Saccharomyces cerevisiae S288C: one gene and its partners. The gene in region 1 interacts genetically with each later gene. Each region holds a gene or a part of one and is shown in the gene's direction. Other genes may lie near its edges. The genes, in order: YDJ1, MDY2, TOR1 and BEM1.

What was found.
Region 2: mutations in YDJ1 (region 1) and MDY2 together harm fitness more than expected from each alone (negative genetic interaction), as found in Saccharomyces cerevisiae (4 studies listed by BioGRID, with this or other methods).
Region 3: mutations in YDJ1 (region 1) and TOR1 together harm fitness more than expected from each alone (negative genetic interaction), as found in Saccharomyces cerevisiae (4 studies listed by BioGRID).
Region 4: mutations in YDJ1 (region 1) and BEM1 together harm fitness more than expected from each alone (negative genetic interaction), as found in Saccharomyces cerevisiae (3 studies listed by BioGRID).

Annotation. Positions count from the first base shown.
Region 1 is NC_001146.8:501,504-508,719, reverse strand, and holds YDJ1 (type I HSP40 co-chaperone YDJ1), read left to right. Parts: upstream 1-1,622; coding exon 1,623-2,852; downstream 2,853-7,216. Other genes in the region: MTQ1 (S-adenosylmethionine-dependent methyltransferase), read right to left, coding at 18-962; AQR1 (Aqr1p), read right to left, coding at 3,236-4,996; putative glucosidase SUN4, read right to left, coding at 5,943-7,205. UniProt on the Saccharomyces cerevisiae protein: Probably involved in mitochondrial protein import. Is also required for efficient translocation of pre-pro-alpha-factor. Involved in heme regulation of HAP1, as a component of the high-molecular-weight (HMC) complex.
Region 2 is NC_001147.6:106,088-112,874, reverse strand, and holds MDY2 (Mdy2p), read left to right. Parts: upstream 1-3,978; coding exon 3,979-4,617; downstream 4,618-6,787. Other genes in the region: YOL107W (uncharacterized protein), read right to left, coding at 1-773; INO4 (Ino4p), read left to right, coding at 989-1,444; ZEO1 (Zeo1p), read right to left, coding at 2,237-2,578; SHR5 (Shr5p), read right to left, coding at 2,986-3,699; Rab GTPase-activating protein MSB4, read right to left, coding at 4,687-6,165; putative serine/threonine protein kinase SKM1, read right to left, coding at 6,582-6,787. UniProt on the Saccharomyces cerevisiae protein: Required for efficient mating. Involved in the production of alpha-factor, the KAR9 and TUB1 location to the shmoo tip and nuclear migration into pheromone-induced shmoos.
Region 3 is NC_001142.9:555,655-567,030, forward strand, and holds TOR1 (phosphatidylinositol kinase-related protein kinase TOR1), read left to right. Parts: upstream 1-3,761; coding exon 3,762-11,174; downstream 11,175-11,376. Other genes in the region: chaperonin-containing T-complex subunit CCT5, read left to right, coding at 260-1,948; ARP3 (actin-related protein 3), read right to left, coding at 2,155-3,504; YAE1 (Yae1p), read right to left, coding at 11,365-11,376.
Region 4 is NC_001134.8:615,463-623,357, forward strand, and holds BEM1 (phosphatidylinositol-3-phosphate-binding protein BEM1), read left to right. Parts: upstream 1-5,409; coding exon 5,410-7,065; downstream 7,066-7,895. Other genes in the region: YBR197C (uncharacterized protein), read right to left, coding at 1-394; TAF5 (chromatin modification protein), read right to left, coding at 665-3,061; KTR4 (putative mannosyltransferase), read left to right, coding at 3,447-4,841; YBR200W-A (uncharacterized protein), read left to right, coding at 7,521-7,685.

The DNA of each region.
Region 1 (7,216 bases):
TATTTACATTTATATACTTAGTTGCAATTAGCTTTGTGCCCACTGAGTGCGGTTGCTAAATGTCTTATAGTCCCAAAGGATGCAAAAATCTGGTGTAGTATTCGCCCTTTGGGAGTGGCCTTAAACCCATATACGACTCTTGCTTTCCCATTCGAGTCATATTTCAAACCAATAGACCAAATACGGCTGAGATATGAATCTTCTTTAATGCGCCTCTCCACGTAATTAAACTGTTCAACGTCTCCAATCTCATAAAAGAAGGAGTCTGTCTTCGGCAGCCAATAATTTACTAGATTTATATAGCATTCAAGCTCACCCACTAGCGCTAGCCTTGGTTCGAACAGCTTTACGGAAGTTTTAACATCTCTATTGAAGTCACGCTTTCGAATGTAGGGGGGGTTACCGGTTAATATATCTATATGGGATGGATATTCATCGCTAGCTTTTGAGGACAATATATTATGTTGCACGAGCTTACCACCACTCACCTTGTTTTTCAGCATATTTTCTTTAACCAACTTAATTGCTCTTGTTGACACGTCAATGGCAGTGAACGTGCAATTTGCTATACCATGACTCAAAGCGAGAGCAATACACCCTGTTCCTGTAAACGTATCACAAATATGCAGTGGTATAGTATGCCTTGAAAGCATAGAGTTGTTTAGAGCTCTTATTATGGCCATCACCCATTCCTCGGTTTCCCATCTTGGTATAAGAACACCAGGCTTGCAAACTATGTCCAAGGCCCCAAACGGTTGCGATCTTAAGATGTACTGCAATGGGACGTGTTTGTATCTCTGTAAGCAAGCCCAGCGGATTGATTTATCCGGAGGCAGCTCTTCGGTGAGCCATTTGTACTCGAGTTTCGCTTGCTCGAGAGTCCTACATTCTGGAAGCAAAAGATGCAAACCAGGTCGTATTCTCGAAGCTTTTCTTATCAATGATGTAGATATTCGAGGCATATGTTCTTTCTAACCGTTTCTTTTTCGTTCCTACCATTCAACTATCGCTCCTTGTCTACGAGTTAAGGGGAAGAGAGTGCAGAGTTTCTAAAAGCACTTGAAAACGTAACAAGACATTGACCGTAGAGAGTCGGCAAAATAAAGTCGTTTATACACGTTTGAGTTGTGTGTATTCAACTATGGAATACATTGTTATAATGAGTATGTTGGTATAAAATAAGATGTGAAGTCGCTGGTTTGAGCACGTGATATACACCTGACCTATAATATTTCGTACAAAATTATAGAAGGCCATCGAAAAAATAGAAAATTTTTTCATTTCTTTTTCAAGAAATGAAAAGGCAATAGAGCATCGGCAGGTATGGAAAGTATTTAACTTGCAGATCAATCCACGTACTTATAAAACGTGTAAAAACTTGCTCTACGTTTATATGTTGGTTAGGTAGTTCTTGTTTGATAAGGTGTGTAGTTCGTTTTTATAAATCAAAGTCACAAAAAGTCCTTTTCCCCATATATATTAGGCCCGAACAAGCGTCTTATTTGATAACTGTTACGTATTTATTTTTTTGTTATTTGTTACCATATCTTTTGATAGAACATAATTAAAAATTATCCAAACTGAATTCTACATCTTCCAACAACAATAATAAACGTCCAAAGATGGTTAAAGAAACTAAGTTTTACGATATTCTAGGTGTTCCAGTAACTGCCACTGATGTCGAAATTAAGAAAGCTTATAGAAAATGCGCCTTAAAATACCATCCAGATAAGAATCCAAGTGAGGAAGCTGCAGAAAAGTTCAAAGAAGCTTCAGCAGCCTATGAAATTTTATCAGATCCTGAAAAGAGAGATATATATGACCAATTTGGTGAAGATGGTCTAAGTGGTGCTGGTGGCGCTGGCGGATTCCCAGGTGGTGGATTCGGTTTTGGTGACGATATCTTTTCCCAATTCTTTGGTGCTGGTGGCGCACAAAGACCAAGAGGTCCCCAAAGAGGTAAAGATATCAAGCATGAAATTTCTGCCTCACTTGAAGAATTATATAAGGGTAGGACAGCTAAGTTAGCCCTTAACAAACAGATCCTATGTAAAGAATGTGAAGGTCGTGGTGGTAAGAAAGGCGCCGTCAAGAAGTGTACCAGCTGTAATGGTCAAGGTATTAAATTTGTAACAAGACAAATGGGTCCAATGATCCAAAGATTCCAAACAGAGTGTGATGTCTGTCACGGTACTGGTGATATCATTGATCCTAAGGATCGTTGTAAATCTTGTAACGGTAAGAAAGTTGAAAACGAAAGGAAGATCCTAGAAGTCCATGTCGAACCAGGTATGAAAGATGGTCAAAGAATCGTTTTCAAAGGTGAAGCTGACCAAGCCCCAGATGTCATTCCAGGTGATGTTGTCTTCATAGTTTCTGAGAGACCACACAAGAGCTTCAAGAGAGATGGTGATGATTTAGTATATGAGGCTGAAATTGATCTATTGACTGCTATCGCTGGTGGTGAATTTGCATTGGAACATGTTTCTGGTGATTGGTTAAAGGTCGGTATTGTTCCAGGTGAAGTTATTGCCCCAGGTATGCGTAAGGTCATCGAAGGTAAAGGTATGCCAATTCCAAAATACGGTGGCTATGGTAATTTAATCATCAAATTTACTATCAAGTTCCCAGAAAACCATTTCACATCAGAAGAAAACTTGAAGAAGTTAGAAGAAATTTTGCCTCCAAGAATTGTCCCAGCCATTCCAAAGAAAGCTACTGTGGACGAATGTGTACTCGCAGACTTTGACCCAGCCAAATACAACAGAACACGGGCCTCCAGGGGTGGTGCAAACTATGATTCCGATGAAGAAGAACAAGGTGGCGAAGGTGTTCAATGTGCATCTCAATGATTTTCTTGATAAAAAAAGATCAACTTATTCACGATTCATTTATTCATCATACTTTTCACTTCAAAATACAGTTTTGTAGCTATACATATGTAAAGTAATAATGGTAGAAAATGCAGTTTACCAAAAAAAGTTCTAATTATGACGAAATCTTAAGGAAAGAGTAAAGCAGGGATTATATGCTGAAATTTCCACTGTATATATTTGCCACAGAAAACCATTTTTTGTATTAGGTATATTTAGTGCACCTTTAACATGTCAATAATTCAACGGAAAATTAACGAAGTAAATAATACATTAATTAGGAAAAATTTACATGAAAGTCTATAAGCTGTTTATAAAAAAAATATGCAGGGATAAGTGTCTATCAAATTGAAGAATGCCAATTAATTATGATTATCGTTCTGGTCTCTTTTTGTTCCCTTTTTGGCTTTGACTGCCAAGGTGTTTAACCAAGACTGTCTTTGTTGTTTCAATAATCTATCCTCCCTCCACTTCATACCATATTTCATCGGAATAAACATTAAGAAGTTGAAGAAAAATACCAGCGCACATAAAAATGTAAAAGTACCACCTACAGTCATCGCAGCTTTCATTTTGGCAAAGCAACCCATGAAGATGGTACTCAAACTGCACCTAACAAAGTTGAAACAACTACTTGCTGTAGATGATTTCGTTGGGTACAAATCGACCAATAACGTAGTTGATGTTGATAATGTACTCATAGCACAGTATGAACAGACAAATGAAGTAATTAAAATAGATTCGATCCTCCAGCCCTTATCTATACTCCAACCAAATAAAAGATAGGCTACGACGGCCAAGAAATTTTGGGGCAGAAGACAAACTAAACGGACTTTGAACATATTAATCTCTGCGTCTTGTGGAATCAACCCGTTAGCTTTGTCTTGCTCGAATTTCTTGATCTTTCTCTTGAAATACATGTCAATAATTCTACCTGTGAAGAAGGAACCCATTAAACCGCCAATACCACCGGGTAGATAACACACACCAATAATGACCAAATGATAGTTGTATGGCGCCACTGATAAACCGGATGAAATAGAGGAAAGCATTAACGTCCACATAGCAAATAAGAGCCCTGATGGAAATAAAGACAGAATAATTTCTGGCAATACAAGGATCTTCCCGGCGGATGACAAATCTAGTTTCGGAATGGTGGGATCTAATGTCTCATAATCAGGATTATCGTACTTGAATCTCCTTCTAACTGGGCCCAGTAGGAAAATCGGCGCTCTGTTGATGAATCTTTTAGGCTTAATGGAAAGGTTACCTGCAATGGTTCGCTTTGTTTCTGGCAAAATAAGAAAGGCAATTAGAAAACAACTTCCACAACCAATGGTCAAAAACCAAAAGATAGCTCTCCAATCCCACCTTGCAGTCAGGACGGCACCAATAAGACTACCAAAACATTGACCCAGTAAAACAAACCCTGAGGTGGCGCCAACAAATGTACCTCTTTCATGCTTCAAAGTGAAGTCCCCGACAACACCAGAACTGATTGCAATTGTGGGGGAAATACCAATACTCTGAATACACCTCAAGAAGATAATAACACCGTATGATGGAGCACATGCTAGCCCGATGGATGCAATAACGTATATCAGCATACCTGCTAAAATTATAGGTCTCCGTCCAAAGCAATCCGCCAGACCACCGCTAACTGTGGGAGATATACCTTGAAACAACAGATACACAACCACAGTAACGTTAACCATATTTTCATCCACATTAAATTGCTTTTCCAACTGCCTCAAAGCGGGATAATAGATCGGTGATCCCAATGAAGACCAAAAGCCACACATTGTTAGAATTGCAACCATTCCCCACTTCTGACCGTAACTTAGTAAAGTATATGGCGCTTTTGTCTCTGCAGTTATCTGTTGGGTTGGATCAACTTTATCATCACTGGAGTGAGAAGAAGTCTCAGAGTCTAAATCGCCTTCTATTTCCCTTGTGGTAGTCTTGGATAGAGTCCCGTGACTGTTGATATAAGCGCCTTCGAAATTTAGTTTTTCACTTTTCGTTTGACCATCTGGTTTTGTGTATTCTCTCGTCAGATGCTGCTCATTGTGAGTAGGATACATCTCAATATCTTCTGTGTATATACTGTTACTTCGTGACATTGCTGATTCGACTTTCTGAATCTAGCTTGGATTCTCAAAAAAATAAATTTATCTCCGTATAAATGCTAACTTTGTAAGCCTGGAAAAATCCATAATTTTATATAGAACGACAATATTAGCAATAAAAAGTTAGTAAAAAGTGTATAACCTTGACAGTGTTAAGCGTTATATAATATTGAGTATGATCAACTGTATCCTCGATGAGGGCAGAGAAGTTTCTTTTTCCTTGCCCTAAGGTGCCCGCAACTTCCCGGTGACGAGAAAAAGAAACGTTGGAACGGCTTCTCGTCTGAAGAAAACAATGCAGGCCGGGCATTTCACGGAACAAAAACGGTTCCATCAAGCCGGGTGATTCATAAATTATCCGATACCGGAACAAATCGGTGAGAGATTTTCCGATGGAGGACGGGTAACGAGCCGGTATTTACCGATCTATGGAGTTTCCGAGTCATTACGGGTCCTTTTGTTTTCGTGTATGCTCCCTTCCCCGTAAGAAGTATACGTAGGAAGTGCGGTCTGCGCTGGACAGTATAAAACGGAAACAGGAGTCATCGAGGGGCTCCGGATTTTTTTTTCTTTTTTTAGCATTTAGCCTAATTGCACATTGTGAATAGATTGCCGTAGTAGAAAAAAGCCTTAGGAGTAGATAGCATACGGCAACAGAACTACAAAAAAAAAAAAAAGAGATTTGATGTCTTTTTTTTTTTTTTGGGTGGTTTTTAGGACAATGAAAGAAGAGGTGTGCGATGTATGTAGGTTTTCAAATGTCTTTAATATTACAAAATAATTTATGTCTGGAAGAATGATAAATAGAAACAAAGTAAAAAAAAATTGATATTAATCCGGCGTGGGTTTTAGTGTATGTTAAACAGACAATAAAATGGACGGGCAGAAAAGAATGGGGTAATAATACAATCAACTTACTCAACTGTTGATGCGCCTAAGTTTAGTTGTATAGAACAAACTTAGCTTTGCCAGCAGTAACGGAAACGGTACAACCGTCAGAGCCACCGCTGAAGCTACCGTTTTCATAGATACATTCACCGTTGACTGTAGAAGAGTCATCAGCGGCGACAATTTTGACATTGAAATTCAATGCGTTACCGTTGTTTGGGTTGGGAATCAAAGAAAGGTAGGCGACACCATCAGAAGAACCAGCGCCAAAGTTCAATGGAGCCCAATTACCGACGCCTGAACTTGAAGAACCCCAAACACAAGCATCTTCGACAGAAATACCGGCATTGTTAACGTAGTATTGCGCGGATGTCTTCAATCCTTGCCAAGTGTAGTAGGTGTCCTGATCAACGACAGTCAAGGGTAAAGAGTCACCTGCTTGCACATATGTAGGAATCACCATGTTTTCGGTACCCGGGTAATCGGTCCTGCAGATAGCAACATCGTTGCTCAATTCAGAGACGACGTAAGCGGCATCAACGCCCCATTCGCATAAATAGTCAGTATCTGTATTTGAACGGTACAGGTAGCCGTCCTTACATAGCAAACCACCAATGGATCTGCCGTCAGATGGTTGGTCAGAAGGCCATTGTGTCTTGGACATACCTGGTTGGCAAGCGTATGAGCAGTAAGACCCTTCTTTACAAGAGCCACCCGTAGAAGTGTCAGTATTTTCAACACCAGACCAGCCACCTTCATCTAACCAGCTGATGGGGATAACACCTTGACCAGATGGAAATTGGCCGCAAGGAATGGTACCGTCTTCAAATTTTTCATATGGACCTGAAAAGTCAGCCAAATCACCGTAGATACTTCCAGTTGCACTGGAAGCTGCTGAAGATGTGGAAGCTGACCCAGATGTGGAAATAGGCACAGAGGATTCGCTAGTAGAAGTTTCTGAAGATGTCAGAGTTGTTTGAGCCGAAGACGAGGTGGTAGCGATTTGTTCAGTACTCTCAGAAGAAGAAGCAACTTTGGAAGAAGACTTGGTGACCGAAGATTCGGAAATCAGAGTAGTAGTGGAAGCAACTGTAGAAGAGGCTTCAGTTGAGGTTGGAGTGACGGTCTGACCATTTTTATCGACAGTGACTGTTTCGTAAACGTATGTAACTGCAACGGCCCTCTTATGCTGGTGTGAACCATGAGCAGTAGTAGTACATCCTGTGTCAATATCAGCCGCATACGGCAAAGCGGAAACGATTGTGCTATAACCGATCAATGAAGCCGCGGTAAGAGTGGTGGCGGACAGTTTCATTTTATCAAATT
Region 2 (6,787 bases), on another chromosome or scaffold:
ACCAATATTTCCTGACCACCTTGAGAATTAGTTGTTGGCAAAGAGGGACAATTCAAGGGTGCAAGTTTCTGGAAAAACCTCAAGTACGACCAACTGGCAAAAAAGGTAACCCAAATGGAGAACAATTGAGCAAAATGATGAAACCATATTATTTGGGTTACCGTCATTGTAAACATTACAAAAATGGGTAGTAATTTGAACCTAAAGTTTTTGGCCAAAAATTGAGGTGTCTTCAGATGGATTATAGTTGTTTCAGGCAATAACTGTCTATAAATGATAGGGAAACCGATTAAAATTGTGTAGTTCCCGTCTAAGGGAATATCCAGCCTTACCTTATTAGAGAAAAAAGATACTAACAAAGTCAGCATGATGATCAGAACGTTTGTAAGAGAACCTAAAACTATGATAAATTTGAACATTTCTTTGGAAGAGTTCCAATTGCGTTCAATGAAGGATCCACCAATGATCAAATTCAATAAGTTCACTACCACCTTCCAAGCTTTAGTGTCGATGAAGTTGGATAGAACTAATGAGGTGGGGTACCTCCAAATCTGCGAAGGTACCATTTGCAAAAGCGGCGAAGTAATCAAGTTGTAGTCCAAGTTAGGGTCTTCAAGAACTAGCTTGTTGTACAAGGATCTCCTTATACAGAAAAGGGTTGCAGTTAAGCATATATAAGTGACTGTAATAAATTTAGTAGCATCAGGAATCTTATTGATATTTAAAAATGAATCCGGGATATTCAATTCTAGGAACCTCGAACTATATTGCATTATAGTGAACAAATATCTTTGTTATAAATAGATTAGTCGTCTTCTTTTTCTTGGCTTGGTTTGTATGAGCTTGTTACGTATCAAACAAAATATTCACATGTTTTTCTCACCTTAAAGACAGAGGCGCGATTGCGTTTGCGAAATTCCAATGCCAACAAGATAAGCTTGACGAAGGAGTTAAGAGGGCGGCTTGAACTAAAAAGAGAAAAGCAATAATGACGAACGATATTAAGGAGATACAAACAATACAGCCGGGATTGTCCGAGATTAAGGAGATAAAGGGTGAACTGGCTAATGTGAAGAAAAGGAAACGCAGGTCTAAGAAGATTAATAAATTGACTGATGGTCAAATACGTATAAATCATGTTTCGTCTGAAAAAAAAAGGAGAGAATTGGAAAGAGCTATATTTGACGAACTGGTAGCAGTAGTACCTGACCTGCAACCCCAGGAAAGTCGGTCAGAACTAATCATATACCTGAAAAGCTTGAGTTACTTAAGTTGGTTGTATGAAAGGAATGAAAAGCTGAGAAAACAAATCATAGCTAAGCATGAGGCAAAAACCGGCAGCAGCAGCAGCAGCGATCCCGTACAAGAACAAAATGGAAACATTCGGGATTTAGTACCGAAGGAGTTAATTTGGGAGCTGGGTGATGGACAGAGTGGTCAGTGATTCAAGGAGTAGGGTAAAGTAAGTAATATAAGCGAAGAAATTCTTCCCATACCTTTTCTTCACTTTGCAGAGGGGAGTGGTGCATATCCCACAAAGAAAAGTAGCAACAACAATGATATATATACGTTACTACTAATGCTTTCCTTCATCGAAAGTGTGCCGAAGTATTTATTTAATCTTTTAGTGTTCAACTTACTATAATGTGATACTTTTTCAATATTGTTTGCCGTTGAAGCGATAGTGCTTTATGTCATTTTATCTTTCTTTTACATTGTTTTATTTTAGAGCTAAAATTGAACATCAGTTTGCAAGAAGTCAGTTGGTTGGCCTTTGCTATTAAGAGACCATAATGTTATAGTGATTGAGATCAGTTTCACCAACTAATAACAATTAACCCGGGCGGTTAGTGTAGTGGTTATCATCCCACCCTTCCAAGGTGGGGACACGGGTTCGATTCTCGTACCGCTCATATTTTTACTTTCTTATCAAACTTTTTTTCCTCCGGGACGTGAAATAACCGCCGAGGTTATTCTCGGAGCATTCTTTTTTGTGGCTTTTGATCATCCATCATCATCATCATCATCATTATTACTACTACTACTACTACTACTATTATTATTATTATTATTATTATTATTAGTATTATTATTATTATATTGATTAGTTATTAGATAGATACAATTAAGAAAAATTTATGTAAAAGGTCAGAATAAACAGCATTTTTCTCCTCTTTTTTTATTTTTAAAAAAAGAAAAAGAAACTTCTAGTAAAGTGCAGCACATTCAAGTGTGATTAGTTGAAAATGGAAGCAATTTTACGGTTCAATTTCTTCAAGAAACCGCCTTCCTTCTTGGTTTCCTTCTTCTCACTGACGGCGGCGGAAGCTTGCTTCTTAGTTTCTTCAACTTTGTTGGCAGCTTCGGTCTTCTTTTGTTCGACACCATCAGCAATGTTTTGTTCTTCCTTCTTCACCTGTTCAGCTTCTGGAGTAGCTTCATTTTTTAGGTTGTCGATAGAAGCTTCAGCTTGTTCCTTTACTTCTTGGCCCTTGTTTTGCAAAGATTCTTTGGTTTCTTCCAACTTTTGTTGGACATCTTGGGCGGCAGTTTCAGCTTTGTTTTGAATTTCAGACATTATTAATTGATATAAACGTAGTTTTGTATGTTTCTTTGATTTGAACTTTTAAGTATACAGAGAAAAAAACCGATCAAAGAAAACTAAAGTATAATGAGGTTAAAAACGAAAGTAATAAAGTAGAAAGGCTATCAAGCAAACTGAGATGATCTTCGACGTAAAAACTCGCTCTATATATATACGCCATATAAGCCCATCGGCGATGGGGGACAACACGAAGAAACAAGAGAAGAGGAGAACCGCACAGAAAGCAGCAGAAACAGAGCAAACCAGCATTAACTAAAGATGATAAAAATAAAATTAGGTAAGAAACCTTAATTGGATATACAAAAATACACTGGAGGCACAAATCGCCATCGATATAAAACACGATAAAGCCCTGGTGCACCCATAAACCACACGTTTAACTATTTGGGTCGGGGCACGACGAAATCTAGGGATAGGCACCCGGACCGTCGGGGCAATACTAGGCGCACACCGCGCTCGTGAAGCAGACCTCCCGGCGAGTTTAGCTGCGCCACGTACTGCTCTAACGCGAGAGACTCCTGAAACACAGGTCTAGAAAGAAGGGGCCCCAAAACCCAGCTCCACAGACCGCCCGTAAGCATATCGAGCAACAGGCCACTTAAGTTACGCCACCCGAACACCTCACCTTCTTCACGCAGCAAGAATCCGTTTACCCGGTGCACAACCTCCGCGAGCTCTGCCGCACTAAGATATTCTGACAGAGGCGAGACGGAGGAGCAGCCAAACACGTGATCCCCAATGTCGTAACGCCCGCACCGCACAAAGCTAGTGCCATCGTCGCCCACGATTGCCGCCGGCTCGCTACCGGGAAGCTGTGTACTAAATTGTGGCGTTTCAAGGCTGCTGCGAGACTCATCGAACCGCCGGGGCACTCGTACCACCCGGGTCACCTGGAACTCGGCAGAGCCCCGAGCAGCATACACATTCGGGAAATGTGTAATACACAATTTGTGGTCTTCGTCGTGCTCTGTGGGTTTAGCGTCTTCGGAACCGAGGTCTTCGTAGAATGAATACGAAAACTCATGGTAATTAAAAAATAACGCCCTTTCGCTCGTATTTGCGTTATCTTCTTCCTTTTGATGGCTATCGCACATCTAGTAAGGGTTAGATTGAGTATTGTCCTCTAATGTAACTTTTTCCTCTTATTCCTCTCCTCCCCTTAGCTATTATATATCTTTTTTACCGAATCTTGAATTAGGAATAGTTTTAAAATCAGGCCGGAGGCCGAGCTTGCGACAACTACGACCAAAAAAAACAAAGGAAAAACGAAAAGAAGAAAACATGCACAGGAGAACATAGTTGGAGAAAAGGGTTAGAACAGACCGATACAGAGATAAACTAGCGAAGAATAATAACTTTATACAAAATTAATCATGAGCACATCCGCCAGCGGTCCAGAACACGAGTTCGTTAGTAAATTCTTGACCTTAGCCACTTTAACTGAACCGAAGCTACCAAAAAGCTATACTAAACCTCTGAAGGATGTTACCAATTTGGGTGTCCCGTTGCCTACTTTGAAGTATAAATATAAGCAGAATCGTGCCAAGAAGTTAAAACTGCACCAAGATCAGCAAGGTCAAGACAACGCCGCCGTCCACTTAACCTTAAAGAAAATTCAAGCTCCCAAGTTCTCCATCGAGCATGATTTCAGCCCATCAGATACTATCTTACAAATAAAACAGCACTTGATCAGCGAGGAAAAGGCCTCCCACATAAGCGAGATAAAACTGCTTTTGAAGGGCAAAGTCCTCCACGATAACCTGTTCTTATCGGATTTGAAGGTCACGCCTGCCAATTCCACAATCACAGTCATGATTAAGCCGAATCCGACTATATCTAAGGAACCCGAAGCCGAGAAATCCACTAACTCCCCTGCTCCTGCTCCTCCACAGGAACTCACTGTGCCCTGGGATGATATCGAGGCTCTTCTGAAGAACAATTTCGAGAACGATCAGGCTGCGGTTAGGCAAGTCATGGAGCGTCTACAAAAAGGCTGGTCTCTGGCCAAATAAGATTAGTATAGTTAGTACGTACATACTTGTTATTTTACACAGTTGCGCTTTTTATCACGGTTGCGCTTACTATTTTCTTCTTTCCTTTGGGCGGCTACTCGCCCTTTGTCTATTTCTCGCCATCGCCACATACTCTCTACCGCGATCAATCTTTTCCTGGGTAATACCATTCAACGCAACCTTCTTCTTCATCAGGACTTTCTCAAAGATATCATTCGGATTGAGCAATCTTTTTGGGAAATTTTGAATCACTTGCAAAATCTCCATATCTGCCTCTTCCTGCGTCTTAATCTTGTTCTTTAATCTTTTGAAAGTTGAATCAGAGTCATTACTACCACCGAAGGTGTACGAAGAGTACTGTCTAAACAGTTTCTGGCTTTTACTCTCCAAAAACTCGCTTTCGCTCAATTTCAGTATCCCCAAAGCCACTTTAAATAAAAAATGAGACTCTTCATAGAATAAACAGTCCCATATTCTCAGGGTCGTTTCGATGGGCACCACGCCCACAAAACAGCTCATAAACCAACTTGCCGTACACAGCGTCAGCGTAGGCAGCCTGCAGAGATATTCTTCCCCCGATGCTGGCCCTGATATCTGGTCAGTGCTGCCATTGCCATTCATATACGATGACTCAATGTGTGACCATATCTCGGGTAAATATTCCTTGATACATAACACCAACACCCCTTGATCCACGTTCGCACCCTCTAAGTCTGATTCATACACGCCAGGTAAATACTTACCGGTAATAATAACCAGCATCCAAAATGCTTTCTCTTCTTCCATGAACAATAATAGCAATCCAACGAGAAAATTCATCGATTGGCAGTATCCAATAGTCTTGTCATAAACAGAAAAGGCCATTAATACTCGACGCAATGATCGGATGATCGCCGGCTCTCCATTTTGGAAGGACTCCTTATGGAAATGTATATTATCGGGAAACGTTCGATAAAGATCCCGTTCTATAGCTTCCATATCTTTACCAGATACGGCACCCTCGCGACAGTCACTTTTCAGTCTATCATAAACGCCAACATTTGCGTCTAATTGTCGTTGTCCACCAGCAAAATACCACCAGGCATTCCCTCTCCATTCTGCTGGTATACCTTTTCTAACAAATTTTGACAATTCATCTGTCCTTGCAGGATATACTAGAGGATTATCATTGTGGAGCTCAATCTTATTCTTAAGAAGAAAGTTCTCCCACTTTTTTTTTCTTCTTTCGGTGTATCTATTATATTCTGTCCACCATTTGTCGTATTCTTCCTGACTAATGAAATATCCTTTCTTGCTAAATCCATATCTATCAAAATTCTCAGGATCTGCCATGATTAAGCTGGTAAACGCCTTTGCTTTTTCAAGCTCACGTGTTGTCAATATTTCTTTTCGTTCTACTGTAGAACTATCATCCCCTTCATCGTCGTCATCGTATAAATCAAGAACGCTATAATTGGCATCGTCTTCGTTGAATGACGAAACTGTGTCAAAAACACTTTCGTTCGGTACCAAGGCGGCTTCTGTCGACATAGTTGATGACATTATCATCCTGTCATGCCGGGTTTTGCCTTCTGTGATTGTAAAAGTGTGCGAGTCTTCCTCGATTTTGAATTACTTCGGTGCCAAATGTACAAAATACTATCCTAACTTTTCAAAAATAGTTTATTCTTATAAAATCATCCGTAAAATGATTAACTGTCCCCGCTAAAAGCGTTTGTAAGCTCAGTTCATAGATATGTCTTCCATCCGTAAATCCGCCTAACGAATAGCAACACATTCTTTTTCCTTTTACATTTTCTATTGACATAACGCGAAGCAAACGTATCATTGTTGTTTTTTTTCTATAAATAATCAAAAAGAGTAATTGTTTTAGATGAAATAAAAATGCGATTAAAATATGAATCATACATACGTATATACATATATATATATATTGTTTCTCCTAAATAAAAAAAAGCTAAATTTCAATGCCACTTTAAGGATACTTTGAGCTGCTCAGGGCTGCATGCCATTGACAAAAATTCAAACGTTAGTAGTTTTCTCACGGATGCTCTTGATTCGACATTCACTTGCAAACAGGCATCTAAGAATTGTTTGGTTTGCTTGGACACTGACTCTGGATGACGCAATTTTGGTGAACCGTTGTTAGCTATCAGATACAGCGCCTTCA
Region 3 (11,376 bases), on another chromosome or scaffold:
TATAAAAACAAAAAATCTATGTACTGACGATATAATAGCGTACATTATCATATTATTCTTACTATTTATCATACTCATCGCATCTACTGTTCTCGAGAACGTGTAAAGTGATTTATGCCATTGAATGAAAAATTTTGTTAAGGAACAACTAGAAATATAATAGTGTCTTGGTGGATGTGGCAAATGAGGTGTGCGTGATAAAGAGCTACAAACTCAAAGTAATAACAGCTATCATCCATTTTTATAGCAATATTTGAAAATGGCTGCTCGTCCACAACAACCTCCTATGGAAATGCCGGATCTGTCGAACGCCATTGTGGCACAAGACGAGATGGGTAGACCCTTTATTATCGTGAAGGATCAAGGTAACAAGAAGAGACAGCACGGATTAGAGGCCAAGAAATCACATATATTGGCTGCTAGATCAGTAGCTTCTATTATCAAAACTTCGTTGGGTCCCCGTGGGTTAGATAAGATCTTGATTTCACCTGACGGTGAAATCACCATCACTAACGATGGTGCTACAATTTTGTCCCAAATGGAGCTAGATAATGAGATTGCAAAGTTGTTAGTACAACTTTCCAAATCTCAAGATGATGAAATTGGTGATGGTACTACTGGTGTTGTTGTTCTGGCAAGTGCGCTACTTGACCAAGCATTGGAGTTAATTCAAAAGGGTATACATCCAATCAAAATCGCTAATGGATTTGATGAAGCCGCCAAATTAGCCATTTCCAAGTTAGAAGAAACATGTGACGACATTTCTGCGTCAAACGATGAATTGTTCAGGGACTTTTTATTGAGGGCCGCCAAAACTTCTTTGGGCTCCAAAATTGTTTCCAAGGATCATGATAGATTTGCTGAAATGGCTGTGGAAGCCGTCATAAATGTCATGGACAAAGATCGTAAAGACGTGGATTTCGATTTAATCAAAATGCAAGGACGGGTTGGCGGATCTATAAGCGATTCAAAATTGATTAATGGTGTCATTTTGGATAAAGATTTTTCTCATCCACAAATGCCTAAATGTGTTTTACCAAAAGAGGGCTCTGATGGTGTTAAGTTAGCTATATTAACGTGTCCATTTGAACCTCCTAAACCAAAGACCAAGCATAAATTAGACATTTCTTCAGTAGAAGAATACCAAAAATTACAGACTTATGAACAAGATAAGTTCAAAGAAATGATAGACGATGTGAAGAAAGCGGGCGCAGATGTTGTTATATGCCAATGGGGGTTTGACGATGAGGCCAATCATCTACTTCTACAGAATGATTTACCTGCCGTAAGATGGGTAGGTGGCCAAGAACTAGAACACATTGCCATTTCCACAAACGGTCGCATTGTTCCAAGATTTCAAGACTTGTCTAAGGATAAATTAGGTACATGTTCCAGAATTTACGAGCAGGAGTTTGGTACTACTAAGGATCGTATGCTGATTATCGAGCAAAGTAAAGAAACAAAAACTGTAACATGTTTTGTTCGCGGTTCCAATAAAATGATCGTGGATGAAGCTGAACGTGCATTGCATGACTCACTATGTGTGGTACGTAACTTGGTTAAAGACTCACGTGTAGTTTACGGTGGGGGAGCAGCCGAAGTGACTATGTCCCTGGCTGTCTCTGAGGAAGCTGATAAGCAACGTGGTATTGATCAGTATGCATTCCGTGGATTCGCCCAAGCGTTAGACACCATTCCAATGACTTTGGCTGAAAATTCTGGTCTTGATCCAATCGGAACTTTGTCTACATTGAAAAGTAAACAACTGAAAGAAAAGATTTCCAACATTGGTGTCGATTGCTTAGGTTACGGGTCTAATGACATGAAGGAACTATTTGTCGTTGATCCATTTATTGGCAAAAAGCAGCAAATTCTTTTAGCTACTCAATTATGTAGAATGATTTTAAAGATTGATAACGTCATCATTAGTGGTAAAGATGAGTATTGATTTTGTATAAATAAATAATAAAAGATAAGTTTTAATCACATATCCCACAATTTTTTTTCTCAGATCAGCATTTGGGGTTACTTGATTGTACATATACGTGTATATAATCAGTTGTATACGTATATTTAAATGAAGTGAGGGGCGTTTCAGTTATTTGCATTTGTTTTTGTACCTTTTTCCTTATAAGATGAGTCATGACTCAATAATCAAACCATGTTGAAAAGGCTGAAATTTCTAACAATTTCCGGACCATATTCCTCATAATCTTTCTTAGTGTGACAGTAGCCTTTGAATTCGGCTGTTTGTGCCAGCAGCGAGCCACCAAACCAGACAGCGTTTCTCTGCTTCCGATGAGAAATCACGGAAACATCTACACCAGTCGATTTAGTTCCACTTAACAGCTCACTTTGTGCGATTCTGTTATTTACGATAGACTTTAGATCTCTTTGTAAACGACGTCCAAAATCTTTGAACATGGTAGACCCACCTGATAGTACAATATTGTTGTATAAACCTTTACGGACGTCAATAGGGCAAGCCTGGATAGTTTGATCCACTACCGTGGGTAAAGGAGTCAAGAAGTCTGAGGATGCAATTTCTGGATTGAAGAAGATTTCAGGTGCTAAGAATCTTTCGTAACCAATATCTACGACTTTTCTCCTTGTCTTTTCTTGGTTTTCCACCACAAATTGGGCAAATTTAGAAGGATCTTTATCGAATTTGTTAAACTCCTTTACAATATCTGGACAGACGTAACAGTATTCTTGCTTAATCTTTTCGGCAGTTCTCAAGGAAGTGTCTGCTTCACCACGTTCTCTTAGCAAGGATTGGATGAACAATGTGATGTCTCTACCGGCTATTGGAATGTTTTTAATTGCTGAGCCAATGACGTAACCTTCCGCCACTGGGATGACGTGGGTGACACCATCACCAGAATCTATAACAGTACCAGTTAATGATCTATCCGTGACTTTTGAAGAGGTCCATGACGCAGCCAGAGCCAAAACTGCTTGCACAGCAATATATAGACCAGCACAATTAAATGATTCAAAAAAAATCTCCGCCACTTGCTCTCTGTTTTCTGGAGGATTCAGTGGTGGTTCGGTCAATAGGAAAAAATGATCTTCAGGCTCTGTTCTTAAATACTTGAAGATGGAATTTTCCCAGAATCTTTCCATGTGATCCCAATTTTCCACTTGACCGTGTCTGATTGGATAGCTCAAAGAGTAAGAGGGTCCTTGGGATGCTACTAAAGCCTCATTTCCAATATAGAAATCCAAATCTTCTGTACCTCTTTTACCGGATAAATTATTAGACAGCAAACCACCTGTTGCACCATTGAAATTGGTTGCAGAGGTGGAATTTCCAAAGTATGATGCTTCATTACTAACTGCTGAGGGCGCACCAACGCCCGAGGACTTCTTTGTATTTGAAGGTGCAGCTGTGGCTATTGCAGTAGGGAAGACCCAGGAGGGAGAATCATTACCGGCGAAACCGAGCTTGGTCAGCCCGGTACCATTGTCCATGACAACAGCGGGATTGTTTAAGTATGACATTGAATCCTAATTTCTTGCTCAATCGTGAGGCCTTACGGTAGGGCCAATTCTTGATTAAACTACTCTCATATATTTTTGTTTGAAACTTTTGAAAAGGGGTTCTCGCCATTTTGAAGCCGCGGACAGCCGGGTGACTACTGAAAGTCCTTATCGAAGGGTCTTCTTGAGCTTACGTTAAAAAAGAGCCATAGTAGCTTCACGAGAGAGTCATTGGTAAAGTGAAACATACATCAACCGGCTAGCAGGTTTGCATTGATATGGAACCGCATGAGGAGCAGATTTGGAAGAGTAAACTTTTGAAAGCGGCTAACAACGATATGGACATGGATAGAAATGTGCCGTTGGCACCGAATCTGAATGTGAATATGAACATGAAAATGAATGCGAGCAGGAACGGGGATGAATTCGGTCTGACTTCTAGTAGGTTTGATGGAGTGGTGATTGGCAGTAATGGGGATGTAAATTTTAAGCCCATTTTGGAGAAAATTTTCCGCGAATTAACCAGTGATTACAAGGAGGAACGAAAATTGGCCAGTATTTCATTATTTGATCTACTAGTATCCTTGGAACATGAATTGTCGATAGAAGAGTTCCAAGCAGTTTCAAATGACATAAACAATAAGATTTTGGAGCTGGTCCATACAAAAAAAACGAGCACTAGGGTAGGGGCTGTTCTATCCATAGACACTTTGATTTCATTCTACGCATATACTGAAAGGTTGCCTAACGAAACTTCACGACTGGCTGGTTACCTTCGAGGGCTAATACCTTCTAATGATGTAGAGGTCATGAGACTCGCTGCAAAGACTCTGGGCAAGTTAGCCGTTCCAGGAGGTACATATACCTCTGATTTCGTGGAATTTGAGATAAAGTCTTGCTTAGAATGGCTTACTGCCTCCACGGAAAAGAATTCATTCTCGAGTTCGAAGCCAGACCATGCTAAACATGCTGCGCTTCTGATTATAACAGCGTTGGCAGAGAATTGTCCTTATTTACTCTACCAATACTTGAATTCCATACTAGATAACATTTGGAGAGCACTAAGAGACCCACATTTGGTGATCAGAATTGATGCGTCCATTACATTGGCCAAATGTCTTTCCACCCTACGAAATAGGGATCCTCAGTTAACTAGCCAGTGGGTGCAGAGATTGGCTACAAGTTGTGAATACGGATTTCAAGTAAACACATTAGAATGCATCCATGCAAGTTTGTTGGTTTATAAGGAAATCTTGTTTTTGAAGGATCCCTTTTTGAATCAAGTGTTCGACCAAATGTGTCTAAATTGCATAGCTTATGAAAATCATAAAGCGAAAATGATTAGAGAAAAGATTTACCAGATTGTTCCCCTATTAGCATCGTTCAATCCTCAATTATTTGCTGGCAAATATTTGCACCAAATTATGGACAACTATTTAGAGATTTTAACCAATGCTCCAGCAAATAAAATACCACATCTCAAAGATGACAAACCACAGATTTTAATATCGATTGGTGATATTGCATATGAAGTCGGGCCCGATATCGCACCTTATGTGAAACAAATTCTTGATTATATTGAACATGATTTACAGACGAAATTCAAATTCAGAAAGAAATTTGAAAATGAAATTTTCTACTGCATCGGAAGATTGGCAGTTCCCTTGGGCCCCGTTCTAGGTAAATTATTAAACAGAAATATACTGGACCTGATGTTCAAATGCCCTCTTTCCGACTATATGCAGGAAACGTTTCAAATTCTGACTGAGAGAATACCATCACTAGGCCCCAAAATAAATGACGAGTTGCTTAACCTAGTCTGTTCAACCTTATCTGGAACACCATTTATCCAGCCAGGGTCACCAATGGAGATACCATCGTTTTCGAGAGAAAGAGCAAGAGAATGGAGAAATAAAAACATCCTACAGAAAACTGGTGAAAGTAACGATGATAATAATGATATAAAAATCATTATACAAGCTTTTAGAATGTTAAAAAATATCAAAAGCAGATTTTCGTTGGTGGAATTCGTGAGAATTGTTGCACTTTCTTACATTGAGCATACAGATCCCAGAGTAAGGAAACTAGCTGCGTTGACATCTTGTGAAATTTACGTCAAGGATAACATCTGCAAACAAACATCACTACACTCTCTGAACACTGTATCTGAAGTGTTATCAAAGCTTCTAGCCATTACGATTGCGGACCCTTTACAAGATATCCGTTTAGAAGTTTTAAAGAATCTTAATCCATGTTTCGATCCCCAGTTGGCACAACCAGATAATTTGAGACTCTTGTTTACTGCACTGCACGATGAGTCGTTCAATATTCAGTCAGTAGCAATGGAGCTTGTCGGTAGGTTGTCTTCCGTAAACCCTGCATACGTCATCCCATCGATAAGAAAAATACTACTGGAACTGCTAACAAAATTAAAATTCTCAACTTCTTCTCGAGAAAAGGAAGAAACTGCCAGTTTGTTATGTACTCTTATCAGGTCGAGTAAAGATGTTGCGAAACCTTATATCGAACCTCTTTTAAATGTTCTTTTACCAAAATTCCAAGATACCTCTTCAACGGTTGCATCAACTGCACTGAGAACTATAGGTGAGCTATCTGTTGTAGGGGGCGAAGATATGAAGATATATCTTAAGGATTTGTTTCCTTTAATTATCAAAACATTTCAGGATCAATCAAACTCTTTCAAGAGAGAAGCTGCACTTAAGGCCCTTGGTCAACTTGCAGCCTCATCTGGTTACGTGATAGATCCTTTACTCGACTATCCCGAATTATTGGGTATATTGGTGAATATATTGAAGACAGAAAACTCTCAAAATATTAGGAGACAAACAGTCACTTTGATAGGTATACTGGGAGCTATCGACCCATATCGCCAAAAAGAACGTGAGGTTACCTCTACTACCGATATATCTACAGAACAGAACGCCCCGCCTATCGACATTGCTCTTCTCATGCAGGGCATGTCTCCTTCGAATGATGAGTATTATACCACTGTTGTCATTCACTGCCTGCTAAAAATCCTAAAAGATCCATCCCTATCATCTTACCACACTGCCGTGATCCAAGCGATTATGCATATTTTTCAAACCCTTGGTCTAAAATGTGTTTCATTCTTGGACCAGATCATCCCAACTATTTTGGACGTAATGCGTACATGCTCTCAGTCACTATTAGAATTTTACTTCCAACAGCTTTGCTCTTTGATTATTATCGTAAGGCAACACATAAGACCTCATGTCGATTCTATATTCCAGGCTATCAAAGATTTTTCTTCGGTTGCTAAGCTACAAATAACGCTTGTAAGTGTTATTGAAGCAATATCAAAGGCTCTGGAGGGTGAATTCAAAAGATTGGTCCCTCTTACTCTGACCTTGTTCCTTGTAATTTTGGAGAATGACAAGTCTAGTGACAAGGTCCTCTCCAGAAGGGTATTGAGACTGTTAGAATCGTTTGGTCCTAACTTAGAAGGTTATTCGCATTTGATTACACCCAAGATAGTTCAAATGGCAGAATTCACCAGCGGGAACCTACAAAGGTCTGCAATAATTACTATTGGCAAACTGGCCAAGGATGTTGACCTTTTTGAGATGTCCTCAAGAATTGTTCACTCTTTACTTAGGGTACTAAGTTCAACAACGAGTGACGAACTCTCAAAAGTCATTATGAATACTTTAAGTCTACTGCTAATACAAATGGGCACATCCTTTGCTATCTTCATCCCTGTCATTAATGAAGTTTTAATGAAGAAACATATTCAACACACAATATATGATGACTTGACAAACAGAATATTAAACAATGATGTTTTACCCACAAAAATTCTTGAAGCAAATACAACGGATTATAAGCCCGCGGAACAAATGGAGGCAGCAGATGCTGGGGTCGCAAAATTACCTATAAACCAATCAGTTTTGAAAAGTGCATGGAATTCTAGCCAACAAAGAACTAAAGAAGATTGGCAGGAATGGAGCAAACGTCTATCCATTCAATTATTAAAAGAGTCACCCTCCCATGCTCTAAGAGCTTGTTCAAATCTTGCAAGCATGTATTATCCACTAGCCAAAGAACTTTTTAATACCGCATTCGCATGTGTTTGGACCGAACTTTATAGCCAATATCAAGAAGATTTAATTGGGTCATTATGTATAGCCTTATCTTCTCCCTTAAATCCACCAGAAATACATCAAACATTGTTAAACCTGGTAGAATTTATGGAACACGATGACAAGGCATTACCAATACCAACTCAAAGCCTGGGCGAGTATGCTGAAAGATGTCACGCCTATGCCAAAGCGCTACATTATAAAGAGATTAAATTTATTAAAGAGCCTGAGAACTCAACTATTGAATCATTGATCAGCATTAACAACCAGCTGAATCAAACGGATGCTGCAATTGGTATATTAAAGCATGCCCAACAACATCATTCACTTCAATTAAAGGAGACATGGTTTGAAAAATTAGAGCGTTGGGAAGATGCACTACATGCTTATAATGAACGTGAAAAGGCAGGTGATACTTCCGTGAGCGTTACACTCGGTAAGATGAGATCCCTTCATGCCCTTGGCGAATGGGAACAGTTGTCGCAATTGGCAGCTAGAAAGTGGAAAGTTTCGAAGCTACAAACTAAGAAGCTAATAGCTCCCTTGGCAGCTGGTGCTGCGTGGGGGTTGGGAGAGTGGGATATGCTTGAGCAATATATCAGCGTTATGAAACCTAAATCTCCAGATAAGGAATTTTTTGATGCAATTTTATACTTGCACAAGAATGATTACGACAATGCTAGTAAGCATATATTAAACGCCAGAGATTTGCTTGTGACTGAAATTTCCGCGTTGATCAATGAAAGTTATAATAGAGCATATAGCGTTATTGTTAGAACTCAAATAATAACAGAGTTTGAGGAAATCATCAAGTATAAACAATTGCCACCTAATTCCGAGAAAAAACTTCACTATCAAAATCTTTGGACAAAAAGACTGCTGGGCTGCCAAAAAAATGTCGATTTATGGCAAAGAGTGCTTAGAGTAAGATCATTGGTAATAAAGCCCAAGCAAGACCTGCAAATATGGATAAAATTTGCAAATTTGTGCAGAAAATCTGGTAGAATGAGGCTAGCAAATAAGGCATTGAATATGCTACTAGAAGGAGGCAACGATCCTAGTTTACCAAATACGTTCAAAGCTCCTCCCCCAGTTGTTTACGCGCAACTAAAATATATTTGGGCTACAGGAGCTTATAAAGAAGCATTAAACCACTTGATAGGATTTACATCCAGGTTAGCGCATGATCTTGGTTTGGATCCGAATAATATGATCGCGCAAAGTGTCAAACTCTCAAGTGCAAGTACTGCTCCGTATGTTGAGGAATACACAAAATTATTAGCTCGATGTTTTTTAAAGCAAGGTGAGTGGAGAATAGCAACACAACCGAACTGGAGAAACACAAATCCGGATGCAATTCTTGGTTCTTATCTATTGGCTACACATTTCGATAAAAATTGGTACAAGGCATGGCATAATTGGGCCTTAGCTAATTTTGAAGTAATATCCATGGTTCAGGAAGAGACTAAGCTCAACGGAGGTAAGAATGATGATGATGATGACACGGCAGTTAATAATGATAATGTGCGGATTGACGGTAGTATCCTAGGAAGTGGTTCTTTGACTATTAATGGCAACAGATACCCGCTAGAGCTTATTCAAAGACATGTTGTTCCAGCGATCAAGGGCTTTTTTCATTCAATATCTCTATTAGAAACAAGTTGTTTGCAAGACACGTTGAGGTTATTGACTCTTTTATTTAACTTTGGTGGTATTAAAGAAGTCTCACAAGCCATGTATGAAGGCTTCAATTTGATGAAAATAGAGAACTGGCTTGAAGTCTTACCACAGTTGATCTCTCGTATACATCAGCCAGATCCTACGGTGAGTAATTCCCTTTTGTCGTTGCTTTCTGATTTAGGGAAAGCTCATCCACAAGCTCTCGTGTATCCTTTAACTGTCGCGATCAAGTCTGAATCTGTTTCAAGACAAAAAGCGGCTCTTTCAATAATAGAGAAAATTAGGATTCATAGTCCAGTCCTGGTAAACCAGGCAGAATTAGTTAGTCACGAGTTGATCAGAGTAGCCGTTCTATGGCACGAATTATGGTATGAAGGACTGGAAGATGCGAGCCGCCAATTTTTCGTTGAACATAACATAGAAAAAATGTTTTCTACTTTAGAACCTTTACATAAACACTTAGGCAATGAGCCTCAAACGTTAAGTGAGGTATCGTTTCAGAAATCATTTGGTAGAGATTTGAACGATGCCTACGAATGGTTGAATAACTACAAAAAGTCAAAAGACATCAATAATTTGAACCAAGCTTGGGATATTTATTATAACGTCTTCAGAAAAATAACACGTCAAATACCACAGTTACAAACCTTAGACTTACAGCATGTTTCTCCCCAGCTTCTGGCTACTCATGATCTCGAATTGGCTGTTCCTGGGACATATTTCCCAGGAAAACCTACCATTAGAATAGCGAAGTTTGAGCCATTATTTTCTGTGATCTCTTCGAAGCAAAGGCCAAGAAAATTCTCCATCAAGGGTAGCGACGGTAAAGATTATAAATACGTTTTAAAGGGACATGAAGATATAAGACAAGATAGCCTTGTTATGCAATTATTTGGTCTAGTTAACACTTTGTTGAAGAATGATTCAGAGTGTTTCAAGAGACATTTGGATATCCAACAATACCCGGCTATTCCATTGTCGCCTAAATCTGGTTTACTAGGATGGGTACCAAATAGTGACACATTCCACGTTTTGATCAGAGAACACCGTGATGCCAAAAAAATTCCGTTGAACATTGAACATTGGGTTATGTTACAAATGGCCCCCGATTATGAGAATTTGACTCTTTTACAAAAAATTGAAGTATTCACGTACGCTTTAGATAATACAAAAGGCCAAGACCTTTATAAAATATTATGGTTAAAGAGTAGGTCGTCAGAGACATGGCTAGAACGTAGAACAACTTATACGAGATCTTTAGCAGTTATGTCCATGACTGGTTATATTCTGGGACTAGGTGATCGCCATCCAAGCAACCTGATGCTAGATAGAATCACCGGTAAAGTTATCCACATTGATTTCGGCGATTGTTTTGAAGCTGCCATCTTAAGAGAAAAGTATCCAGAAAAAGTGCCATTTAGACTAACTAGGATGTTAACATACGCAATGGAAGTTAGTGGAATTGAAGGCAGTTTCCGAATTACTTGTGAAAATGTCATGAGAGTCTTAAGAGATAATAAAGAATCATTAATGGCGATCTTGGAAGCTTTTGCGCTTGATCCTTTGATCCATTGGGGATTTGATTTACCGCCACAAAAACTTACTGAGCAAACTGGAATTCCTTTGCCGTTGATTAATCCTAGTGAATTATTAAGGAAGGGGGCAATTACTGTCGAAGAAGCGGCAAATATGGAAGCAGAACAACAAAATGAGACCAAAAACGCCAGAGCAATGCTTGTTTTGAGACGTATTACAGATAAATTAACGGGCAATGATATCAAGAGGTTCAATGAATTAGACGTCCCTGAGCAGGTTGATAAACTGATCCAACAAGCCACTTCTATTGAAAGGTTATGTCAACATTATATTGGATGGTGCCCATTCTGGTGACTGCGGTGTCATTTTTCATTTCGTGCTTTGTTTACTATTTATTTTTTTTGTATTACGCATTTGTATACGTGTGCAAGTATTGTGTATTATTATTATTATTATCATTATTTTTGTAATATCTCGTCATTATGTGAAATGAAGGATGATATAAGGTACATAAATTGTGAAATCAACTCCATTTAAAACAACTTTATTGGATAGA
Region 4 (7,895 bases), on another chromosome or scaffold:
CGTTGACGATAGGTTCTTTCGCCATCTTCTTCACATCATCCAGTGTATCGATTTCAGACCATGATACGTCTTGCGTCTCCGTAGGTGCCAGGTTTGAGTGCATTGTTATACGGCTACCATTTACGCTTCTTTCGTATGCAGTATTACCCCTACTAATGCTGGTCGTTAAGGGGTTTAGTGCTGGAGGCGTGGTTAGGTTTTTGGTCGGAAGTGCGTTGGAACTGCCCATTATAGAGGCAGTGGAATCTGAAGATCCCTTTCTTTTATCTTTGTCGCTCTTTGCCTTTAATTGAACCAGCTGAGGGTTTCCTTCCTGGCTACTAGATTTCCTTCTGTTGGTGGAATCCGCGTCGCTTACTTTCACCTGGACTGGTGGGGTTTGCTTCACTCCCATTATTTGTCTTCGTTCGTGCCAGCAACATACATTTCATCTTATTTCTCTGGAAGGTTTTTACAACAACCAGTTACATTTTTCATTTTTCTGTTCTTCGCCTTTCTTGTTTTGGCCCCGATGACTGAGCGAAAAAAAAAAGGCTAAAGAAGACGCTATGATAACCGCCGAGCAGGTCAAGTACGATGTCGAAAAAGCATCTAATAGTTACATATCGGATTAGGTTATACTTATTACATATCACTTCCATGCTGTTATTTTTTTCAGTGTGAATTATGGCCTGAAAGCACCTCCTGCAAGGGCTAAATTGCTTCTGCTGAACTTGACCTTAAAAACAGGCGTCTTTTTGGTGTAGAACGACGCTACTAAATCGCTTGTAGGTATTACTGTTCTTCTGCGACCATATTCTTTTATATCTTGGTTTATAGATGCAGTAACGTCACCCAAGTATCCAATGAATGGCTCATCTGGTTCTGCGCTTGGCTCAGTAGTGGCCTTTTTCAAATCCCATACACGGACTGTATGATCGGCACCTCCACTAATAAGTACGTTTCCCTCTTTGCTATATGATAAGGAATAAATGGCATTCTTACCATGGCCACGCATTTGTTTCAACCTTTTGCCGGTACCAATATCCCATACATTAATAATACCATCTTCGCTACCAGTGGACAACCACCTACCATCTGGACAAACAGCAATAGAAATGACGGGCGCAGTATGTCCAAGAAATAACCTAACCGAGTCGCCTGTAGAAACGTCCCACATTCGACACGTCTTATCGCTGGATCCCGTAAACACATAGCAACCGTTCGGATGAAATGACACACAATCAACATCATTTAAATGTCCTGCAAATATTCTTAATGGATATATGTGATCGCATGACCATAACCTTGCGGTTTGGTCGTGCGATGCAGTGGCGAAATAATGGCCTAGCGGGGAGAAACTAACATCCCACACAGGGTGATTATGGCCCTTATAGCTTACTAGCGCGGTGTGAGTATCCATGGACCATAGCCTGACGGTTTTATCTTCAGAACCAGAAAGTAAATACTTATTATCCGGACTGAAACTTGTTGAATATACTGTACCACTGTGCCCCACCAAAGTTTTACACGTTGGGTCTTCATCCTTGTCGTTGTTATTTAACGCGATGTTAGGATTATTAAGTGATGAGCCGTCGAGTGACCAGATCTTGATATAACTGTCTTGAAAGCCAGCAGCCGCTATCCTACAATCATCACTGAAATCTAAACATGACATGTCTTTATTTGTGTTTTGGAATGTATACATGCACACGCTTGGTAAGGCCAACTGTAAATTATCTAGTTTGATGGCATCACGAGATTCCTTGACCTTCTGAATCTCCAACTTCAAATCTAGTGCCGTCTTTGGTGGTAAAGGTAAAATATCACGTGCTGGCGAAGATAAATTGCTGTCTTTTTTTTCACCATCCACCTTCAATTCGCTCTCTTTTTTTTCCTCATCTTTGGCGATTTTATCTTTAATTTTGTCTTTATCATCGTCGCCAGTATTATCCTTAAATTTTTCGTTATTCATAGCTTTATATTCTTGCAATAAGGTTCTATTGTTGGCTCCACTGTAATTGTCACCTGCAGTTTGTTGATTTAGTTGTTTCTCTTGATCATCCTTAATTTTCAATTCAGTTTCAATCTCCTTAACAAACTCCTCGTCTTTTGGGAAAGGTCCCAGCTTGACAGGAACAGAATTCATTTCTAAATTTTGTTTACCATTTCCGTTTTCACTATCACTGAGAACTTTTATTCCATCAGCCAATTTTTCCCTTGCGGTTACTGATTCTACAATATTTGGATCTAGGTGCTGATTTATTACACTAATTATTAATGAACCTCCAATACTCTCATTTTCATTCAAAAAATATAAGAGAAGATTTAAAGTGGTTTTAGACATAGTAATTCTGTACTTGTGAGATTGGAAAGCACTTGCGACCTCATTTTCCTTGATGTGATCTATAGAATTGACACTGAAAAGTCTATTAATTTCTGAGCCATGGAAGTCCTTAAAATCGGGAGAAAATCTATCAAAGAAACGACGGGCGTAAACAGGATTTTTGGCCACCAAATTTAAAAATAAATAAATGAATATTGGGTACATGATGTAGCTTAGTTCCGGCTTGTAAATTTCCAGCGACGAATCTACCCAGTTTTTCAACATTGAATATGCACGTATATAATTTTCAGGTGCGTTGAGCCCTTCTAGTCGCCCGCTAGATACTATACCACCTTCTGCATCTCTCTTGGATGACAAATTAGTTGGATTGCTTATGGGTTTAGCTGTCTTCCCGGGGTTCGGAGGAATTGATGATTGTTCAGGAAATTTACCTGTTTTAGTATTTGCTGGTGATTGTTTGTTTTGAGGTGTTAGTGTACGTCCACTCTCGGCTCTCAGCATGGCCTCTGTACGGTGGTATCCCTTTTTATTCAGGTACTCTAGGACAATTCTATTCAAGTCTGACGCCGAAAACGGACCATTGGACCTCCCCTGCTGTTGAGACTGGCCTTGACTCTGTTGCTGTGGCTGCTGGCCGGAATTGGCGCCAGCAGCATTATTAGTTCGTTGATTCTTTACTGGTTGTGGCTGATGCGTGCCATTTTGATTCTGATTCGTACTTTGCTTCTGTGACATTCTTATTTTTCAAGTATCTCAACTTGAACCCGGAGTTTCTCGTATCTTTTCTCCTTCTCTTTTCCTACCCTTATGCCTGCTTTATTGCTCTTTCTGCCACTTTGTAGACTTCATTTGAAATCTTGAAACTTTTTTGCTTTTGAACAATTCATCTGAACCCGTAAAAGATGATATTTACAGCTACTTTTACCCGGCTAAGGGGAGAATTCCATTCAACGGAACGAGCTCTATAAGACGTTCTCTAACTGCATGTAGTGAAATATTTTGAACCATTTGATATGCAGATACTTTCACGGTGTTGCACGGCTGTATAATATACAATAGGCCGTTACAGCAGAACACAATTTTTAGTTTAGACCCAACAAGGTGAACCATACGAACTGATATGAGGTTTCTTTCAAAAAGGATACTGAAACCTGTACTTTCAGTGATCATTCTAATATCGATTGCCGTAACCGTTGTTCTTTACTTTTTAACGGCGAATGAGAACTATTTGCAAGCAGTCAAGGATAGTGCCAAGTCCCAGTATGCTTCTCTCCGGGAGAGCTACAAAAGTATTACAGGTAAAACTGAAAGCGCTGATGAACTTCCTGATCATGATGCTGAGGTGTTAGATAGCATAATGGACAGGCTACACGAGCCCCTTTATGAAAAGGACACTTTTGACCCGAATGAAGTCCTTGCTGAAAATAAACAGTTGTACGAGGAGTTTTTACTTCAAGAAATTTCTGAGCCAAAGGTGGACAATTTGGTACGTAGCGGGGATCCGTTAGCCGGCAAGGCAAAAGGAACTATTTTGAGTTTGGTGAGAAATTCTGATTTAGAGGATATAATTTCTTCTATTCAACAGCTAGAAGAGGAGTACAATAAGAATTTTGGATATCCCTATACCTTCCTTAACGATGAGGAATTTACTGACGAATTCAAAGATGGAATAAAAAGTATTCTTCCTAAGGACCGTGTAGTAGAATTTGGCACTATTGGTCCAGATAACTGGAATATGCCTGATAGCATAGATAGGGAGAGATACGACCAAGAAATGGACAAAATGAGTAAAGAGAACATTCAGTATGCAGAGGTGGAATCCTATCATAACATGTGTCGTTTCTATTCTAAAGAATTTTACCATCATCCTCTGCTATCTAAATATAAATATGTGTGGAGATTAGAGCCAAACGTGAATTTCTATTGCAAAATTAACTATGACGTTTTCCAATTTATGAACAAGAATGACAAGATTTATGGGTTTGTTTTGAACCTCTATGATAGTCCGCAAACCATCGAAACGCTATGGACTTCAACTATGGATTTTGTCGAGGAACACCCAAACTATTTGAACGTCAACGGAGCCTTCGCATGGCTAAAAGATAACTCTCAAAATCCAAAAAATTATGATTATACTCAAGGGTATTCAACTTGTCATTTCTGGACCAATTTTGAAATAGTCGATTTAGACTTTTTGAGGTCAGAACCTTATGAAAAATATATGCAATATCTTGAAGAAAAGGGAGGATTCTACTATGAAAGGTGGGGTGATGCCCCTGTAAGAAGTTTGGCACTTGCTTTATTTGCGGATAAGTCAAGCATCCATTGGTTCAGGGATATAGGTTATCACCATACTCCGTACACGAACTGTCCAACTTGTCCAGCAGATTCAGATAGGTGTAATGGAAATTGTGTACCAGGCAAATTCACTCCTTGGAGTGATCTAGACAACCAAAATTGCCAGGCAACCTGGATAAGACACTCTATGTCTGAGGAAGAGTTAGAAATGTATTGAAGACATTAGCTTTGAGAATTTGTGCCGCTGCTTTCGAGAACGGCATCACATCTGGGGTTTTATGATTTAATTTAGGACGCACATAGATAGATATATATTATGGAATTAAGAAAAGTTTATAATGTAGCAACCTAAAAATGTTACAGGTGAACATTCATGGAAAATGAAATGTTTCTCAGCCAGTAGATAGTATTGTTGAAGGTATTATTGGTTTGAGAAAGCTACTCCTCAAAAATGTCACTTGATAATATGGAATTATAATGTCGTTATATTTTCAATCATTTCAATACAATATGGTAAACCGAAATCCAAAAACTTTACAATATCTCTTATCTATTGTTATTCGACATTCTTCCCGGGCCTTAACGGCTTCTTAACTAATATTACCCTAAACGGACAAATGGCGAAGGGCCCCATTCATTTACGAACAGGAAAAAAAGAAAGTGACAATACAGCCATAATTTGATGTACCATCTTAATCAGCATATGTTTTCACTAATATACTAAACCCATATGGATGCACGTTGAAAGCACTGTGTGAAAAGAAATTGTCAAGAAAGCCATATAAATGCTGAAAAACTTCAAACTCTCAAAAAGAGATAGTAATGGGTCGAAGGGCAGAATTACATCCGCAGATATTTCCACACCTTCTCATGATAATGGGAGTGTTATAAAGCATATTAAGACAGTACCAGTGAGGTACCTTTCTTCATCTTCCACCCCAGTGAAAAGCCAACGGGACTCTTCACCAAAAAACAGACATAATTCTAAAGATATTACTTCTCCAGAGAAAGTTATAAAAGCCAAATACAGTTATCAGGCACAAACTTCAAAGGAACTATCTTTCATGGAAGGTGAATTTTTTTATGTATCTGGAGATGAGAAGGATTGGTATAAAGCTTCAAATCCTTCTACTGGAAAAGAGGGTGTTGTCCCCAAAACCTATTTTGAAGTGTTTGATAGAACTAAACCTTCCTCTGTGAATGGATCCAATAGTTCAAGTCGGAAGGTTACAAATGATTCATTAAACATGGGATCGTTATACGCCATTGTTTTATATGACTTTAAGGCAGAAAAAGCTGATGAGTTGACAACTTATGTGGGAGAGAATTTGTTTATTTGCGCCCACCATAACTGTGAATGGTTCATTGCTAAGCCAATTGGTCGACTTGGAGGGCCCGGCCTTGTTCCTGTTGGGTTTGTTAGCATCATAGATATTGCCACGGGGTACGCAACAGGTAACGACGTAATAGAAGACATCAAGTCAGTTAACCTACCAACTGTTCAAGAATGGAAAAGCAACATTGCAAGATACAAAGCTAGTAATATTAGCCTTGGTTCTGTGGAGCAGCAGCAGCAGCAATCCATTACAAAACCTCAGAACAAAAGCGCAAAGCTGGTTGACGGTGAATTATTAGTGAAAGCATCCGTTGAATCCTTTGGGTTAGAAGATGAGAAGTATTGGTTTTTGGTTTGCTGTGAATTATCTAACGGTAAGACGAGGCAACTGAAAAGATACTATCAAGATTTCTACGATCTGCAGGTTCAACTTTTGGATGCGTTCCCAGCAGAGGCCGGTAAGTTGAGGGATGCAGGTGGACAATGGTCCAAACGTATAATGCCCTATATCCCTGGACCCGTTCCATACGTTACCAATAGCATAACAAAAAAAAGAAAGGAGGACTTGAATATATATGTGGCAGACCTAGTGAATCTTCCCGATTATATATCTCGCTCAGAAATGGTGCATTCCTTATTCGTTGTTTTGAATAATGGTTTCGACAGAGAATTTGAAAGAGACGAAAATCAAAACAATATTAAAACATTACAAGAAAACGATACAGCAACCTTTGCAACAGCATCTCAAACTTCTAATTTTGCCTCAACTAACCAAGACAACACTTTAACTGGCGAAGACTTGAAGTTAAACAAGAAACTCTCAGATTTATCTTTATCGGGCTCCAAGCAGGCTCCAGCCCAATCAACTTCTGGATTGAAAACTACTAAAATTAAATTTTATTACAAAGACGATATTTTTGCTTTAATGCTGAAGGGTGACACAACCTATAAAGAACTTCGTAGTAAAATCGCTCCAAGGATTGATACAGATAATTTTAAATTACAAACCAAATTATTTGATGGTAGCGGGGAGGAAATTAAGACTGATTCACAAGTCAGTAACATAATCCAAGCCAAACTGAAAATTTCCGTTCACGATATTTGAATCTAGTGTTAGAAGACGAAGCATTTTTCTTCTTTACTTGGCAGATGCACATAGGTTGAACATTTTAATCAACTTTATGATGATTTGCGAGAGTAATAAGATTCTCCCGAACAGTAATAATATTAAGGTATCCAATTCTTCCGAAACAGCGTGATTTGTAATAAAAATAAATAAGGACATATATGTATATAGAAAGTTGCTTAAACTTTTTAGACCACTTGGAAATATTTTTTATTTATATTTTTCTTCAAATGTAAAGTTGGGTACCTAAGCTTAAATTCACCTGAAAATGAATTATATGAAAGATTTTACACCACATGTAAAAAAAAACGTACAAAAAGCCAAATATTTCCACTCAATCATAATGCATGAATTATAGGTATTTTAAGTTATATTGCTGACGTAAAATTCAGAAGAGACTACAAGAAAAATTCTGAACATATTTATTCTTAAATATGCTTTTGTGCTTCCATATGTGTCAAAGGATAATGTGGCTCCCTTTCGATTTAATGAAGTGGCGTAGATTTCATTGTGGCGCTGTTCTTGTTGGAACACTGAGCTTACGTAACCGCAGCCCAAAGATACTTTCTCTTTATTTTATTAGCGATAGGACAGGCTAAAATGATAATCACTATTAATCAAGCAGAAAGTAATTGAAATTATTGTAAATCGAAATACCTGTAATGTAGCAAAACTTTTCGTGGTTGTTACAGCAACTTTTTATACTTAATATAGCAAGAGTATCCGTTTTTATAAGGCCTACACAACGGAATCCTCTTGATTTCCTTTTTTCTTTGTAATTTACCGACGCACGAATACGCGCGCTGTCC